2 linked regions of the Xenopus tropicalis genome follow. The protein of the gene in region 2 purifies or fractionates together with the protein of the main gene of each other region. This does not show direct contact. Links are inferred from orthologs where the notes say so. Each region holds a gene or a part of one and is shown on either strand. Other genes may lie near its edges.

The links.
Region 1: the proteins of akap13 (region 2) and prkaca purify together in Homo sapiens (affinity purification with mass spectrometry; 3 studies listed by BioGRID and IntAct, with this or other methods). This does not show direct contact. The link is inferred for Xenopus tropicalis from reciprocal best matches to the Homo sapiens genes AKAP13 and PRKACA.

What each region holds. Positions count from the first base shown.
Region 1 is NC_030679.2:134,184,922-134,192,777, forward strand, and holds part of prkaca (cAMP-dependent protein kinase catalytic subunit alpha), read right to left. Parts: intron 4,081-7,856; coding exon 4,019-4,080; intron 3,597-4,018; coding exon 3,468-3,596; intron 3,340-3,467; coding exon 3,241-3,339; intron 2,151-3,240; coding exon 2,068-2,150; intron 1-2,067.
Region 2 is NC_030679.2:111,690,498-111,699,049, forward strand, and holds the start of akap13 (A-kinase anchor protein 13), read right to left. Parts: upstream 4,868-8,552; 5' UTR 4,646-4,867; intron 1-4,645. UniProt on the Homo sapiens protein: Scaffold protein that plays an important role in assembling signaling complexes downstream of several types of G protein-coupled receptors.

The DNA of each region.
Region 1 (7,856 bases), about 22 Mb from region 2:
GTGGAAAGGGGGCAGCTTGGTTACCAGATTGGGGAGGGGGGGGGGGGATGGACCAGTCAGTGCAGAGCAGGTTGCCTCAGAGTTCAGTGTTGCTCTGTCTATTCCTCCCCCAACAAAACCTATGCCTATAAGGAGGTCCTAACCCTAAACGTCTGCTGTATACACACCGCTCACTTCATTTCCAGCTCCATCCTTGCAGCCGGCTGCACCTAGCAGTGGAATGTGTGTGATAAGGCAAGGGGAACCCTGGGGCAGCCACCAATCTCTCAGGGGCACACAAGCTCTGTAAGCCATTGTATAGGTTGGAACTCCAATCATGAGTGTGTGTTTGAGTGTGAGTATGTGCTAGGGCAAGTAGGCTGTAAGCTCCATTCAAAGAGGGACAGATGTGATGCACAATCTCAATAAAAGGGCTGAATGATAGGTCAGTGCCATGTGTACAAAGGACAATATTTACTGAGAGGACCCATAGATGAGGAAGGCGGTGTACTTCTCCAATTGGGTGTATGGTTATACCGTCAGCCCGTATAATTGCCCATGCAAATACACAGATAAGCAGCATGGTGCTGATAAAGGAGACAGAACTTGGAAATCACCATGGGCTTGCCCACAGCAGCTGTCAGAGGAAATGAGGCAAAGTCCATCTCCGGTAACATCCGGGTGTTAGAACCGGCACAGAGAGAAGGTAGAACATTAGTTGGAGAGGAATAGAAGCCGTATCTGAACATCATGATGTAAACCTATAGGGGGACGTGACGGGACAGTGGCAAAGGAGTTTGTACGGCTCTATGGCACCACTGGGATCCTGGGTTTCTCTCATTTAGCGCTGGCAGTAAGGCCACCCCCTGAACCATAGACTCTTCTGTGCTGACACTTGGTACCTTAGTGTTGGCACAGCGGACTGTATGATCTACTGCATAATCTGTTTATATGTTCACTCTCAGTTTCCTCTCAAAAACTTAAAAGGTAGGTCAATTGGACTGAGGGTTGTGATTCACGAACAATGAGACAGGTTCTACCCCTGCACCCCCCAAGGGAAACACTCTGAAGGGCAAACAGGGTGAGATTTAGGGGTGAATTGCTTACTTCCTGAATTACAACATGGCTAGAGACTGTCACCCTGCTTTAGTCCCAGGGATTTATAATATATCAGGTTATGAGATAAACAGCCGGTCTGCCCCAAGTTTGGCCCATAAAGTGTTTGTGAGCACATCAGAGGGAACATATATGGCAGGGACAGTCCGTATAAAGGTAATGGGCACTAAAGGAAAACTATACCCCCAAACAATGAAGGTCTCTATAAAAATATATTGTATAAACAGCTCATATGTAAAAACCTGCTTCATCTAAATAAACCATTTTCATAAAAATATACTTTTTAAGGAGTATTAGCCACTGGGTAATCCTAAATAGGAAACTGCCATTTAAAGTACTAAGGGCCCCCCCTGGGATCATAGGATTCACAGTGCACACAAACAAGCCAAGGCACACATACATGCTAGGCCCCATCAGCCAATGAATGGACAGAGTTCTGCCTTTTGCTCCCACACTACTTCCTGTTACAGTTAGAGCTGCATTATTTCCTGTCAGCTGATCTCTAAGGGAGCACACAGCCCATCACTAAATGGCGGCTCAAGGGAAAGGGTGTAAAAAGGCAATTTTTACCGATATATATGTATTCCAGTTTGACGATTTTTTAATAGGCTACTTAACATGATATAAACAATTTGTTGGTTAAGTATTCATTCTGGGGGTATAGTTTTCCTTTCAGGGGTACAAGTTTAAGGTTTCTTGGCTATAAACACATCTATGAGAGACCAGTCTGTAACCAGAAGGTGTTTGGGACAGAGAAACATACCATAAAGCCCAAATACTTGAATATTAATAAGGAGCATTGGTGTTTGCAGAGAGCAGGCTGCAGTTCTGTACATAAGGAGCCATTATTCTGAAGTTATTGATAACTATCCTAACCCTGATAGTGGCTATCACCTTGTGACCACTCTCAAGCATTCAGGGCCCAATGGGCGCATACTGGTAAGGGCATTAGCAGTCTTGGCCTATGCTTACCTGAAGCGCCCGATTCTGCGCAAATGAGAGAACATCTCCCCACCGGCGACATACTCCATGACCATATACAGATTGCTGTTATCCTGGAGGGAGGAGAAGAAAAGACATTAGGAAAGGTGAGGCAATAGCACATCCAGGGCAGAAGAGACATGGGTGGGGGGAGAGAATAAGTCCTAGAGTGCATTACGCTGTCACTGCACAATACAGACCAGCAGCCTTATTGTATTTCTAAACTTCTCCCAGCATCCCCAGCTAGCTGTTCCTAAGGATGCTGGGTATCGCGGGGCCAGTTTTAGGATAGTGCAGAGAGGGAGTTGTATCAAAAGGGAAGGAGATGGAGTAAATAAAGTGACAACATATTATATACAACTTGTTAGATATTCTCAGAGTATACATATGGGATGTCATACGGATAGCTGCTGGCACAAAATGGAAGATGTTGGCCATGCCTTATTTATATATGGGGGTGCCAGTCTTTCTGCACTTCCAGGAGCAATGCCAGCCCTCAGTTGTTGTATAGCATGGGATCAGTTATCCATAAACCCTTTATCCAGCAAGTTCAGAATTACTGGAAGGCCATCTCCCATAGAATTATTTGCTTATAATGGAGTCTAATTTTAAAAAATGATGCCCTTTTCTCTGTACCTTATACTTGATCCCAACTAAGATATAATGAATCCTTATTGGGGGCAGAACAGCCCTATTGGGTTTATTTAATGGTTAAATGATTCCCTTTTCTCTGTAATAATAAAACAGTACCTGTACTTGATCCCAACTAAGATATAATTACCCCTTATTGGGGGCAGAACAGCCCTATTGGGTTAATTTAATGGTTAAATGATTCCCTTTTCTCTGTAATAATAAAACAGTACCTGTACTTGATCCCAACTAAGATATAATTACCCCTTATTGGGGGCAGAACAGTCCTATTGGGTTTATTTAATGTCTAAATGACTTTTTAGTAAATTTAAGGTATGACAGAAAGATCCCTTATCCGGAAGCCCCCAGGTCCCGAGCATTCTGGATAACAGGTCCCATACCTGTAGTCTAAAGACCCGAAAGGTTTGAATCCTTTATAAACTCCCCACCTATTCCCTTTTAGCCCACCAAGTCATTGTACATCCTGCAATGCCAGCCCCACCCACCTTCCCCTACTGTTACTCCCCACTGTACCTTAAAGGAATACTCCAGCCGCACGAGGAATGGGAAATTCACAGCCTGCAGTATCCGCTTCTCATTCAAAGTGTGCTCGATCTGCTTCAACTTCACCACCTGGTGGGGCAAACGGAATGAGTAACTGGAAATTACTGATTGGGATTCCCCCTACAAACCTATAGTGGGGTACACCTCTAAACAAAGGACCCCTGCACACATGGAAACAGAAAATATTTATGCCATACCTTCTGCTTGTCCAAGATCTTCATAGCAAAGTGACTGCCATTTTCTTTGTGCCTGACCAGCATTACTCGCCCGAATGACCCAGTGCCAAGAGTTTTAATGCGCTCAAACTGTTCCAGGTGAGCTGTGTTCTGCAAGAGAGGTACAGGGGGAGAAGTGATACTGCTGCACCAACAAACAGACTGAGGCAGGTTTAGCATGAAATATAAACAGATCTTTTCCTTTGGACCCTACAGAGTGACTGTGGGAAGATAGGAATGATTACATTTCAGACTGACTACCAGTGGTAGAAGGCCAGGCAGCAGGGGCCTTTAGAAAGCTTACCTTGCAGTTCTTTTGCACAGCTTCTTGGCAGTTTTATGAAGCAATATGCTGTGCAACACAATCAGTTCCTGTAGGAAACCCTGCACATACTCTTAGCAATCAATAAAGAGTTAAATATACATATCTACTGTTTTTAAGCGCACACCTGATTGGTTGCCAAAGGTTACAAGACCTTGATAAACTTGGTTCATTACCACCCAACAACCCCAGCCAAATAAGGGTTTGTTACCTGTGCTGGATTTTCCCATTTTTTCAGAAAATCTTCTTTTGCTTTTGCCAGAAATTCTTTCACTGTAGAAAGAGCACAAAAGGATGAATGGGTTAATGAGGAAACAAATGGAGGTAACCAAGGAGAAAATGCACACTGGAGGCAGTATGAATGGAGGGATAAATGAAGGGCACAGAAAGTTATAGATCAACAGCACTGGCTCACGTGTGAGCAGCCAATGATAAGCGCTGGTACAGGGTTTATACTGCCTAGCCAACCACTCGCCTTAATGGATTCCAACTCCCAACGATCCCTGCCAGAGGCTCATGGGGGGGGCTATAAGTACAGTGCAGTGTTGCCAAACTGGCCCTGCTCTCCCACAATGCATTGTACTCACACATGAGGAAATCAGGGGTTATGGCTCGGCTACTGTATGTGTAGGGCCCAGCATGGCTACTAGTGGCACCAATAGCTATTCTTACAGAGCCCAGCATTGCTACTAGTGGCACAAATAGCTATTCTTACAGAGCCCAGCATGGCTACTAGTGGCACCAATAGCTATTCTTACAGAGCCCAGCATGGCTACTAGTGGCCCCAAAAGCTATTCTTACAGAGCCCAGCATGGCTACTAGTGGCCCCAATAGCTATTCTTACAGAGCCCAGCATGACTGACAGGCTGAGGAAGTGACCAATCCCTATGGCATTTCTTGGCTTTGAGCAAGGTGTGGGTTATACATTGAGGGCAGCGCTGGAGCACCTGGTGCACGGCTGCTTATCATTCCTTCAGTAAATAGCAATGGAATGCTCCGGGGCTGAATATGACAGGAAACCTGTGCAGAAGGCAGGGAGTTGCTCTGGAGTCGGAATGAGGAAGCTACAACTCCCAGCGTGCAGAGACGCACACAGACTGCTAGGAACGAGACAGCACAGACTGTTAGGAACGAGACAGCTCACTACTGAGACAGGCCCCAACTCACACTCACAGATATTCAACTTGTGCCCCATGGAGTAAAACAATGCAAACATTTAAGTACCATAGTGCAGACAGGCTAATTAAAGCAAATGCAGCGGTGGGATCTATTATCCAGAGACCTATTACTGAGCTCTGAAATACAGACACTTAGCAGCAGCCATTACTGCTCATAGCTGGCGCCACGACAGACGGGAGAAAGAGGAAGAACTAAATGCCACCACAGACAGACAGCTTATAGCCGGCTTAGTTATAAGGAGACTGCTACGGGCTGAGTTTATGTGACAGCCATACAGACAGTGTAAGGAAACAGACAGTCCCTAGTGCTACCAATCTAAGGAAAGAGACAGCAGAGTTGGGAGGCTACAGCAGAGAGAGATACGGAACTAGAGGAAGGAAAGAGGCAGCAGCCTTATCTGTCTCTATTTTGGGGCATTCCTCTATTCTGTGCAGCACACATATGGGCCAGGCTGGCTAGCAATTGTTGCCACCAACCGTCACTGCTAGTCAAAGTGACCACACTTGGGGGGAGCCCAATTTGCCTTTACCATCTCTTCTATAAGGGGCTCTATACAAAAAAACCCCAAAAAACTGCAGAGTCAGCAACTTCAAATGGGGGGTCACTACTGCTCTGTGAGGCTAAAATTGTATTGTTATTGTTACTTTTTATTACTTATGCTTCAATTCTGTCCCCCATACCTTCCATATTCCTGTTTCGCATTCAAACCACTGTCTGGTTGCTAGGGTAATTTGGACCTTAGCAACTAGATAGCTGCTACAATTCCAAACTGGAAAGTTTCAGAACAAATAGCTTATTCCAAAACCAATAAAAAAAAAATTGCAAACTGCTTTAAAACAGCACTCTCTACATAATACTAAAAGTTAAGTTACAGTTAAAGGGCTTGTTCACGTTTAACGTATGCTAGATGGAACTTTACAATGGGTTCCTTGGTTGCTGGGGTCAGTGATGGTCAGTCTGGTCTTACAGAGTGAGCCGTCAGCTTATTGGGCCGACAGATCTAGCTAAAACTCAGTGGCCCTTTCCAAAGCCAGCTATGATGGCTGTGCCCATCTAGGGCCACACAATGATGCAAAATGTAAGCTTTGTGAGCAATAGGCTACACTGAATCTGCTGCTGAATAAGATGGTTCTTACATGCATTTGTGGTAAAGTGTAATGCTGTGATAAGCCTACACAGGAAGGGGCCGCGAGCTGCACTGTGCAGATATACATAACAGCACATCTCATACAGAGGGGTATTAGTCTGCTCCCTACCGTATTATAGGCCACTTTCAGCTTTCTGTGTCATACACAGTTCCATTCTATAATCAGAGTCCCTTCCCAGAGGCTATTATCCCCCCACTGCTACTATAGGCACCATCTCTCCCTACTATACCTGCTATCCCACAGCCACAATCCCTTCCCAGAGGCTATTATCCCCCCACTGCTACTATAGGCACCATCTCTCCCTACTATACCTGCTATCCCACAGCCCCAGTCCCTTCCCAGAGGCTATTATCCCCCCACTGCTACTATAGGCACCATCTCTCCCTACTATACCTGCTATCCCACAGCCCCAGTCCCTTTCCAGAGGCTATTATCCCCCCACTGCTACTATAGGCACCATCTCTCCCTACTATACCTGCTATCCCACAGCCCCAGTCCCTTCCCAGAGGCTATTATCCCCCCACTGCTACTATAGGCACCATCTCTACCTACTATACCTGCTATCCCACAGCCCCAGTCCCTTCCCAGAGGCTATTATCCCCCCACTGCTACTATAGGCACCATCTCTCCCTACTATACCTGCTATCCCACAGTCACAGTCCCTTCCCAGAGGCTATTATCCCCCCACTGCTACTATAGGCACCATCTCTCCCAACTATACCTGCTATCCCACAGCCCCAGTCCCTTCCCAGAGGCTATTATCCCCCCACTGCTACTATAGGCACCATCTCTCCCTACTATACCTGCTATCCCACAGCCCCAGTGCCTTCCCAGAGGCTATTATCCCCCCACTGCTACTATAGGCACCATCTCTCCCTACTATACCTGCTATCCCACAGCCACAGTCCCTTCCCAGAGGCTATTATCCCCCCACTGCTACTATAGGCACCATCTCTCCCTACTATACCTGCTATTCCACAGCCCCAGTCCCTTCCCAGAGGCTATTATCCCCCCACTGCTACTATAGGCACCATCTCTCCCTACTATACCTGCTATCCCACAGCCCCAGTCCCTTCCCAGAGGCTATTATCCCCCCACTGCTACTATAGGCACCATCTCTCCCTACTATACCTGCTATCCCACAGTCACAGTCCCTTCCCAGAGGCTATTATCCCCCCACTGCTACTATAGGCACCATCTCTCCCTACTATACCTGCTATCCCACAGCCCCAGTGCCTTCCCAGAGGCTATTATCCCCCACTGCTACTATAGGCACCATCTCTCCCTACTATACCTGCTATCCCAAAGCCACAGTCCCTTCCCAGAGGCTATTATCCCCCCACTGCTACTATAGGCACCATGTCTCCCTACTATAACTGCTACTATACCCATACTCCTCCTGCATACTCCTCTCTTTGGGGCCCCACTATGCAAAATGTCTCTTTTTAGAACACCATAAAGGCAGCTCTGTCTGCAGAGCATCAACAGAACAGAAAGTTATTTACAGGGGCTCTTAACTGTGCATGAAGAGGGTGTGATAAGGTAGGCACGCAGAGCATTGCAAAACGCGCAGTTTGCCAAAGTCATGAAAGCAGAATATAACTGGGAACATCTCTCCATCACATTAATATTGAGGGACACACAATATATGCCATTGCTGGGTATATAGGGGGTAGCCTACTTATCAGGGCATTATCACAGTTCAACTATAGTATATTACCA
Region 2 (8,552 bases):
AATACTACCGATTATTATCACCCAAGACAAGTACCTGAAACCTTAAATGGACCCGTCACTCAGACATAAAAAGCTGTATAAAAAAATTCTCTCTCAAATTAAACATAAAACACAAAATCATTTTTAATAAAATAACCAAAGAAATTGGAATTATTTCTTAGGGTGACAGGCCCAAATTAAATGGCTTTTTACTTTTTGTGTAGTGTTTAAATTAAGAAATTTATTTTTTTTAATATAGCAAACAATAAACTTTGTTTTTACAAGCACAACCAAAACAAATCACAAGTACACTGAGAAGCCCCCTGTATTAAAGGACCCCCCCCTTCAAAGAACGAATGTTGAAAAAGGGAGTAGCCCATTTAAAAAGGTACAAATTTTGTAATTTTGTGTGTTTGTGAGTGTGCGTGGTTTTCGCTTGCGTATATTTTAAATTGTGTTGTTTTGTTAAAGCCATGCAAGTAGTGTAATTTTTAATGATGATATGGTCACTAAGGGAACATTTTCATTTAAACCAATAATTTGGGGAAGCAGCATAACTACTGCTGCTCATATAAACAGACATATATTACTTAGAAAAGGAAATACAGTGTGCTTATTTTCATACTTATATATATGTTTGCTTTATTAAGAGCTGAAGGGAAACCATCTAATAATTTCTGAGAAAAAAAGTCAACTTTAAGGTGCATCTGTTACAGGTTTTGCAGTATATTATCATTTTGCCTTGAGCAAAACAAGGCAGAAACAGTGTTAAGTGTTTTTCAGACTGCATGGTTCACATAGAGGCCTTGTTTAGTCTGTGGTGCAGTCCCCAGCAACACATTTCTGGGAAGCAATGAACACTGTATATTACATTAAAATGTGAACCTCTGCATGAGTGCTATAAACCTCATAACAAGGCACTGGAGATATATTCTACACAACTGACCATCTCATATTTATTCTATATGTATTTAGAAGCATGGAACTTGAAATGAAATAGAAACGTCACGTGGGTTCCTGTCTTGGAGATTCTGGGAGTTGCAGTATAAAACCAGCTTTAAAAGGAATACGGTCATGGTAACACATTTTTTTCAAAACACAATAGAGCTTCTCCAGCAGAATCCTGCATTTAAATCTGTTTTTCAAAAACACAAAGAGATTTTTTTAATATTTAACTCTGAAATTTTACATGGGGCTAGCCAATTCTTCATTTCCCAGAGTGCCACAGCCATGTGACCTGTGCTCTGGTAAACTTCAGTCACACTTTCCTGCTGAGCTGCAAGTTGGAGTGATATCATCCCCCTGCCAGCAGAACAATGGGAAGGTAGCTAGGCAGCAGCTCCAAGAAGATATCACAAAAGCATTCAATAGTAAGAAATCCAAGTCCCGCTTGGGACACCTCCAGATACATGGGAGTAGGAGAAACTATAGGTTATCTGAAAGAAGTTCTAATGTGTAGTGCTGGCTCTTTCTGAAAGCTCAGACACAGGCACAATGCATTGAGATGGCGCCTACACACCAATATTACAACTAAAAAAATACATTTGTGGTTCAAGAATAAAATTTTAAATGGCAGAGTGAATTATTTTCTATGTAAACAGTGTCATTTAGAAATAAAAAGTATACCATTGAAATCATGGCAGTATCCCTTTAAGTGCTTTAGTTTGAGCACCACTGTTACAGTTCAAAACAATGCCTTAAGCCCAGAATGACATAAATTAGAAGAGAACAATAGCTGAGAACTGAGTTTTACAATCAGCATAGGATAAACAGCCTAATTCTAAAATTCTAATTCTAGTGGGGGCTTAAAATGTTTAATGCCTTTCTAGCACAAAGAAGGGATACATAGTTAAAAGCAATGGTATAGAAATTCATCCAGCTGGCTACCACCGACATTTAGGGGTGAGAGAGTTTCCCACCCAAAGAGAATGAATCAGTAGTTACCCCACCATGGGCTGTGACAGCCTTACTCTTAATTAACATCGATGGTTCTGGAACAGTTAAACATAAAGAACTTACATTCTAGCTAACTATGCCACTTCTGTAATTTGAAGAATGTAAAGGAAATTACGTCAAAATATTTTAGCGAAAATGATTAAATCCACAGACTATGGAATGTCACTAAAGCAAAAACAATTTGAATTGTTTCTGATATTTTCTGTACAGGGATAAAAGCAATTTCAATTACATAAACTAGCTTTATTTATCTAAAAGGTACATGCTTACTGCTAAAAACTATATGTTGTCATATTATCTATAGAAACAGTGAGGATGACAGTCTCTGGGAAGGAACTATACCTGGCATAGCAGGACCCCTTATCTGGAAACCCATTATTCAAAAAGTTCCGAATCACGGAAAGGTCATCTCCCTTTTTAAAAAATATTTCCTTTTCTCTGTAATAATAAAACAAGACCTTGTACTTGATCTCAACTAAGATATAATTAATCCTTATTAGAGCCAAAACAATCCAGTTGGGATTAATTACTGTTTAAATAATTTTTTCAGTATGGAAAGTCCCCTTATCCGGAAAACCCCAGGTCCTGAGCATTCTGGATAACAGGTCCCATACCTGTATAGTAGGAAGAAAAAAATGCATGTATTGAATCATGAGCTCCCTGATGACAGGACATTTTCTGCCATCTCTTGCTATGCCTATTAATATAAATACTAGGGCCCCACAACGTCTGTCTTGCCCAAGGCAGCAACACATCCAAACACAAAGGAGTGTCTATGGTTATGTGTAATTTGCAGGTGAAATTAAGATAATGGATGAGAAGTAATGCTGCTGCTTATTACCATCAAAAATATTAGCAGTTTGTATGTTGGCACCATCCCTGTATCACGGTATCAGTACAAATACAATAACCCGCAGCAAGACTCATTGACTAGAACATGCGACTGGATCTTATGATTGACCCAATATGTATCAGACACTACCAGCTGTTTTTCATATTTAAAGTTGAATACATCAGACTCACACATTGGTCCACATAATGTCAGTCTGTGCAACCCTCCCCACTCACTATGAGTGAGCCCATCAACAAGTTCTGGGCCTTTTTTTTTTTTACCCAAAGTGACGACAATCCCAGCATTATTCTTGCATTTGAAAGCTCTCCCTTATTCAAAGACAGTCATGTTATATTTATAGCAGAAATCCAATTTAGGAATTATCCGTGCCCCCATAAATAGCAGGATGTGAATACAAATTTCACTTTAAAAAAAAAAAAAAAAAAAAAAAAAAGGGGGGGTACCACCATTAATTAGTAATAAATGTATTTATCCCCTTATCCTATCCAAATTGTAAGCAGATCAATTAGTTCCATGTTCATTTGTGGGGCAATATATCCGTTTATTAAACAGAGAAACTCACAAGTTACAGAAAAGCACAGGTAGGCCAGTAAGTTATGGATATATATTGCGGGTAAGCTGAATACAACAGGACTTAAACCTGCCACTTCTGAGCCATTCAGTATAAGGTCATTGTGGCCAAGACAGCTGAAGGAAAGATGAACGGAATCAGCTGCTGTAAATCCTATTTTCAAGCCGATCTCTCAGGCGCTGTAGTGACAAAAGGACAGATTGACAGCTCAGACTCTGAAGAGGTCTTACTAGAGAATAGCACTACACTATGAAGTGTCCAACCACAGCACTCCCCTAAATATTTGTCCAGTGAGTGGTGCTGGGAGTTGTAGTCCAAAAAACAGAATAGCAGGACAGCTGCTGTATTCATGCAAAGCTAAGGGTTAACATGACATTGCTTAATTGATTTTCTGTAGCAATGGATATTTTGCTTATGCAAGTATGTATCTAATCCTTTTATAAAGGAATTAAGGGACTTTGCGTGAGAGTCTCACCCAAAAAAACACTTCCTTAATGTTTCTGCTGTGATGCACATCCAAAGACTAAATATTTAAGCAAATAGCAGCAGTTTAAAGTACAATTACAATTTCCTGACAGCCAGTCTCTAAAACCCCCTGAGAGTAAAAGCTAGGAGTAGCTGCATAACTATTAGTAAAGGTTGCAGTCTGTAAAAACGTGTATAAAGGGTTTCTTGCTGAGTCAATTACAGCTTAGCGCAAAAGTATGCATTTAGATTGTATGTATGTATAGCTTTATTTATAAAGCGCTACTTATGTACGCAGCGCTGTACAGTAGAATACATTAATACAAACAGGGGGTTAAAGATAATGGATAAATACAAAGTACAACAATAAATACAAATAAATACAAGGTACAGTTGCAATAAGAGTCAGAAACACAAGATGAAGGAGGTCCCTGCCCCGTAGAGCTTACAATCTATATGGGAGGGGTAACAGACACAAATGGGCAAATAGATTGTAATGATGTTGAAATGTCCCTATATAAAAGTGTCTGCACCTTTGTTGACGGTTTATTGCGACTTGAGAGTAAGGGAAATGTAGGTTGTGGGAGACTGGCCCAATCGGCAACCGTAAGGTAAGTTCAGTATTTCTGATTAAAGGAATGAGCACAAATCAGTGCAGCACTGAACTTACCCCCGCCCAACTTACTGCCCCCAGTATAACCCCATATCGCCAACTACTGTCTCCGAGTCACTATTTTCCCACACAACCCCCCCCCCCCCACCCCCGCTCAGACTTGCAAAGGTCCCGCTGCCCCATCCCCCACAACACCGGGGCCCCTTACCTCCTCCTTATCCTACAATTGTGTCCCGGAGGCCGAACATCCCCGGCAAAGTGTCCAGCTTGCACGCCAAAGCCGAGAGATCCCTACAACTGAGCTTCCAGTATCCACAGAGAGAAAGCACACTATGGCACTCACTCGCATACACCACTTGCCTCAATGTATCACTTTCCGCTCACACCGCACTCCAAACTGTAGGAGACTTTACGGCGCATGCGCTCTGCGGACAAGGCTTCTAGTCAATGGACGATGCTTCTTCGGGATTGGCTTAGAGCCACGTCAATCTCTTACTTACTCGCTGGCAGGATGAAGTCAACAGTTAAGGAGAAACTTTTACAAAACTCATCCTGTGCATATACTTACACAGAGTTGCAGAGAAATGACAAGCCATAGAAATAGTTCGATTCCTTTGATATTATAGATTATACGGAAAAATAGCTGCTTCTTCTAATGAACTATTAGTAACTGCGTTTTGCTGCCTGCCATATGCTCCTGGTGTAAATCCTTCGTGCAGAGCATTTGCACGGACATTGCACTCAGACTTAAAGGCAAAGTTTATTACGTGAAGACGTTGATAATCTCAAACACCGTCCAGTGTTTTTTTCTGTACCGTTTTTTATTATACTTTTTGAATACGTTTTGCTTCTCTGTACCTCTGTACCCATAAATGTAGCTTCCGGGTTGCTAGCATAAGGACCCCAGCAAGAAGCACCAACATAACAAAATGTTAAATCATAAAAAAAAACATTATTTTCTTTCAAGGAAAAATATAAGTAGGACTTTTACAGAACACAACCCCATAGGTTATATAGTCAACCAGTTCTGTCAAATCCATATACTACAGCAAAAATGTTGCAGCCAACATTAAAATCCCCAATACCTTGGAAATGGCCCTGAGGTGCAGTAAGTGTGTTAATCATGTTTTCCAAAGATCCCAGGGTTTTAGGCCCCTCCTGTGCTCAGTAAACTAATTCTCTTTTTCAGTTTCTGTTCTTGAGGTTCAAACCCAACTAGGGATAGTGACCACAGTCATCAGTGTCTGCTACTGCACATGCCCCATTTAGTTTACTCTTTACAATTACACTGTTACCAATATATAATTTAGAATATTCACCCAACTGTATATTGTAATAGTAGTCAGTTGTGACAGTTGTTAGGAATAGCATGGGTAGATTTTGTATGAATGGTGTATGAAACTAGAAAAAATAATATATTAATGCAGGAATGTATTTTTACTACTCAGTAAGCAGGGCGCTACCCAGGGGGGGCCTCAGTTATTAGCTCACCAGTCACTTGGGTCCACTAGGCAGTGGGCCCTGCCAACAAGAAGAATGGGGGCCCAGAGGTATTTTGCCCAAGGTTATATTTATGTCAATATGTATAATTGTAATTTACATATGTACATATGTATTCATGGTTATTAGAATTCATAAATAAAAACATAATTAAGCCATAACAAACAAAACATACATTAATTCACACAATCTACAAAACAAACATGCCAAATAACAAATACAAAACAACGTTTACCCAACACCAAATATATTTACAATGATAGTAACTTGTGTGGACAATTTACATCAGGGAATAAAATTCCCAGTGCATAAATGGCCATGTCATCATCATGGCCTATTAAGTATAAGACCTGCCCACTTGTCTTGTGGGGCCCACATCTGTTATGGTGCTCCTTACTACACTAACCCTCCACACCCCCTGATGGTGGTTCTGCCATTAATACATTTAGGGAAAGATTTATCAAAATGTGAGTTTAGAGCTCACACCAGAAAAATTCACCCAATTGATCAAATGGATTTGCCCTTTGTAAAAGCATTGCTATGGAGGTGCATGCAGTAAGGTCTTTTTCCACCAGTCTTCATATACAAGAAACACACAAGGGTACAAACAAGGACTCACCAGTTGCTTCATCTCATTTGCATACTGCTTGTATAAAAAAAGGTTGTACAATCAAAGGTTTTGTTCACACAGCAAAAGGAATAGTACACAAAGGCAGAATTGCTCTTTCAATTAGTTTGACTGGTTAGGTCCTAAACAGGTCATTCCAGGGCATGGAGTAGCCTAAGGCAATCTACTGCTTCTTTGGAGATATTCCTCTATTTATCTCTTTGACTATCATAGCGGAGTTTCATCCCCAAACATGTTAGAATGGTTGCACAGCAAATAAATAACCTCTTTTGTAAGGCAAAGTTGCCACAGCTAGATATTAAGCTGGCCATACACATTCAGATTTTAGTCTTCTTCTGATGAACGTTTACTACTACGATACTACTAAAAATAACAAATTGGAGGATGTTCTGAACATAAAATAATTAGCAGACAACAATCGAACAAAAGTGACATCCCAGAAATGTATTGTAGGTCAGTCAAGGATATTGTCAGATACAGTCATAGATTTTATCATTATCTAACAGAAATTTTCTAACCTGTCCGATCAACTAAACAACTAATCGCCATGGTACAAAAATTATCGGGACGATAATTCGGAGCCCACACACGGTTCGAAAAGCAGAGCAATCTGGTTCAAACCAAAGCAATGAACATAAAAAGGCCATGCAATCTCATATGTATAATAAATACCTCCAGATACCAGAAATGCATTACATTATGTTTTTTATGATTATATTGGTGTGTGTATGGCCAGCTCTGTGGCTCTCTGTGAGCAGATTCACAGTCATGTATGCAATTAGTTCATCACAGCCTATGAGTATACAAAATGGTGCACAAAAGTTCCTGCCCTTAGTGGCCTAATTAGGCATATGCACATCTGTAATGCGACTCCTGCTGCACAGAAAACAATGTGATTTGGATGCAGTTTTTATGCATGAGATTGCATGGCTTTTTAATAGAATGCAATAGAGCCAAATACTTACAGTTAAACAGACTTTGCAACATGAAGTTAGATTTGACTGTTTGTAGTGTCTGCCACTGCTGTCCCACAGTATTGGGGCTCCTGCCTTTTAATCATATATTTTTCTATGTTTGTGTGCATATCCTCCAGGTGCTGCAGTTGTCTCACAAATACTAAAAATACAATCAAATTGGCTAACTGGTTGCTTATGAAGTGACCATAAAGTGTATGAGTGGGTGTCTGTGTAAAGTGGGAAAAGTGTCCAAGCCTAAGTGTTCATTGCTTTGTTTTGTATCAGATTACTTTGCTTTTATGAATATTGTTTTATGTTTCTTTTCTTATTGCTCATTATTACTGCTCTGTTTTGTTAACACTGTTTAGTTTTATGCTCTGGTGGTGGCGGGGAATTTCCAAGGTAGCCTGTGTTGAGAGAAGCAGGATACAGAAGAAGGTAGGGGTGGTGCTGGGAGCCAGTTTGCCTTGAAGCTAAAGTATTAGGCACAGAAGTCTTACCATAGGTATAAGGGACTCCCAAGTATATTTTCAATAACAGGACATTTCCATCATGCCTCAAAGCATACCGATTGGCAGGTTTTACCAGTTAGCAGCACAACTCAGCAGCATCATCATCTTCTGAACAGAGCTTCATTTTAATAACATGTACACATGTGTGAGTGTGTGTGTGAGAGTGAGAGACAGAGAATTTCAAGTCATTTTCCTGTTATGATGAGGACATCCAAGAACAGCAGCTGCATGCTTTTTCTGTACATTACCAATAGCCACAGCAGAACTTTGTGGCAGAGGCATGCCAACCATTTGCAAAATCACAAGCCCAACACCAACCCACTGCTAAAAACCACAGACTAAGCCATTCAGCTGTATACACCCCTCCCCTATTCCAAACCAGCCACAAACCATCTGGTCCTTTTTACAGAGGATATATATTCCTGTTGGCTCTGAGCAACCGCCACATAATGCCAACAGCTTATTAAGATACATAAAAAAAAGTATTTGACATTTTAATATGCCAGAACCAAATTATTT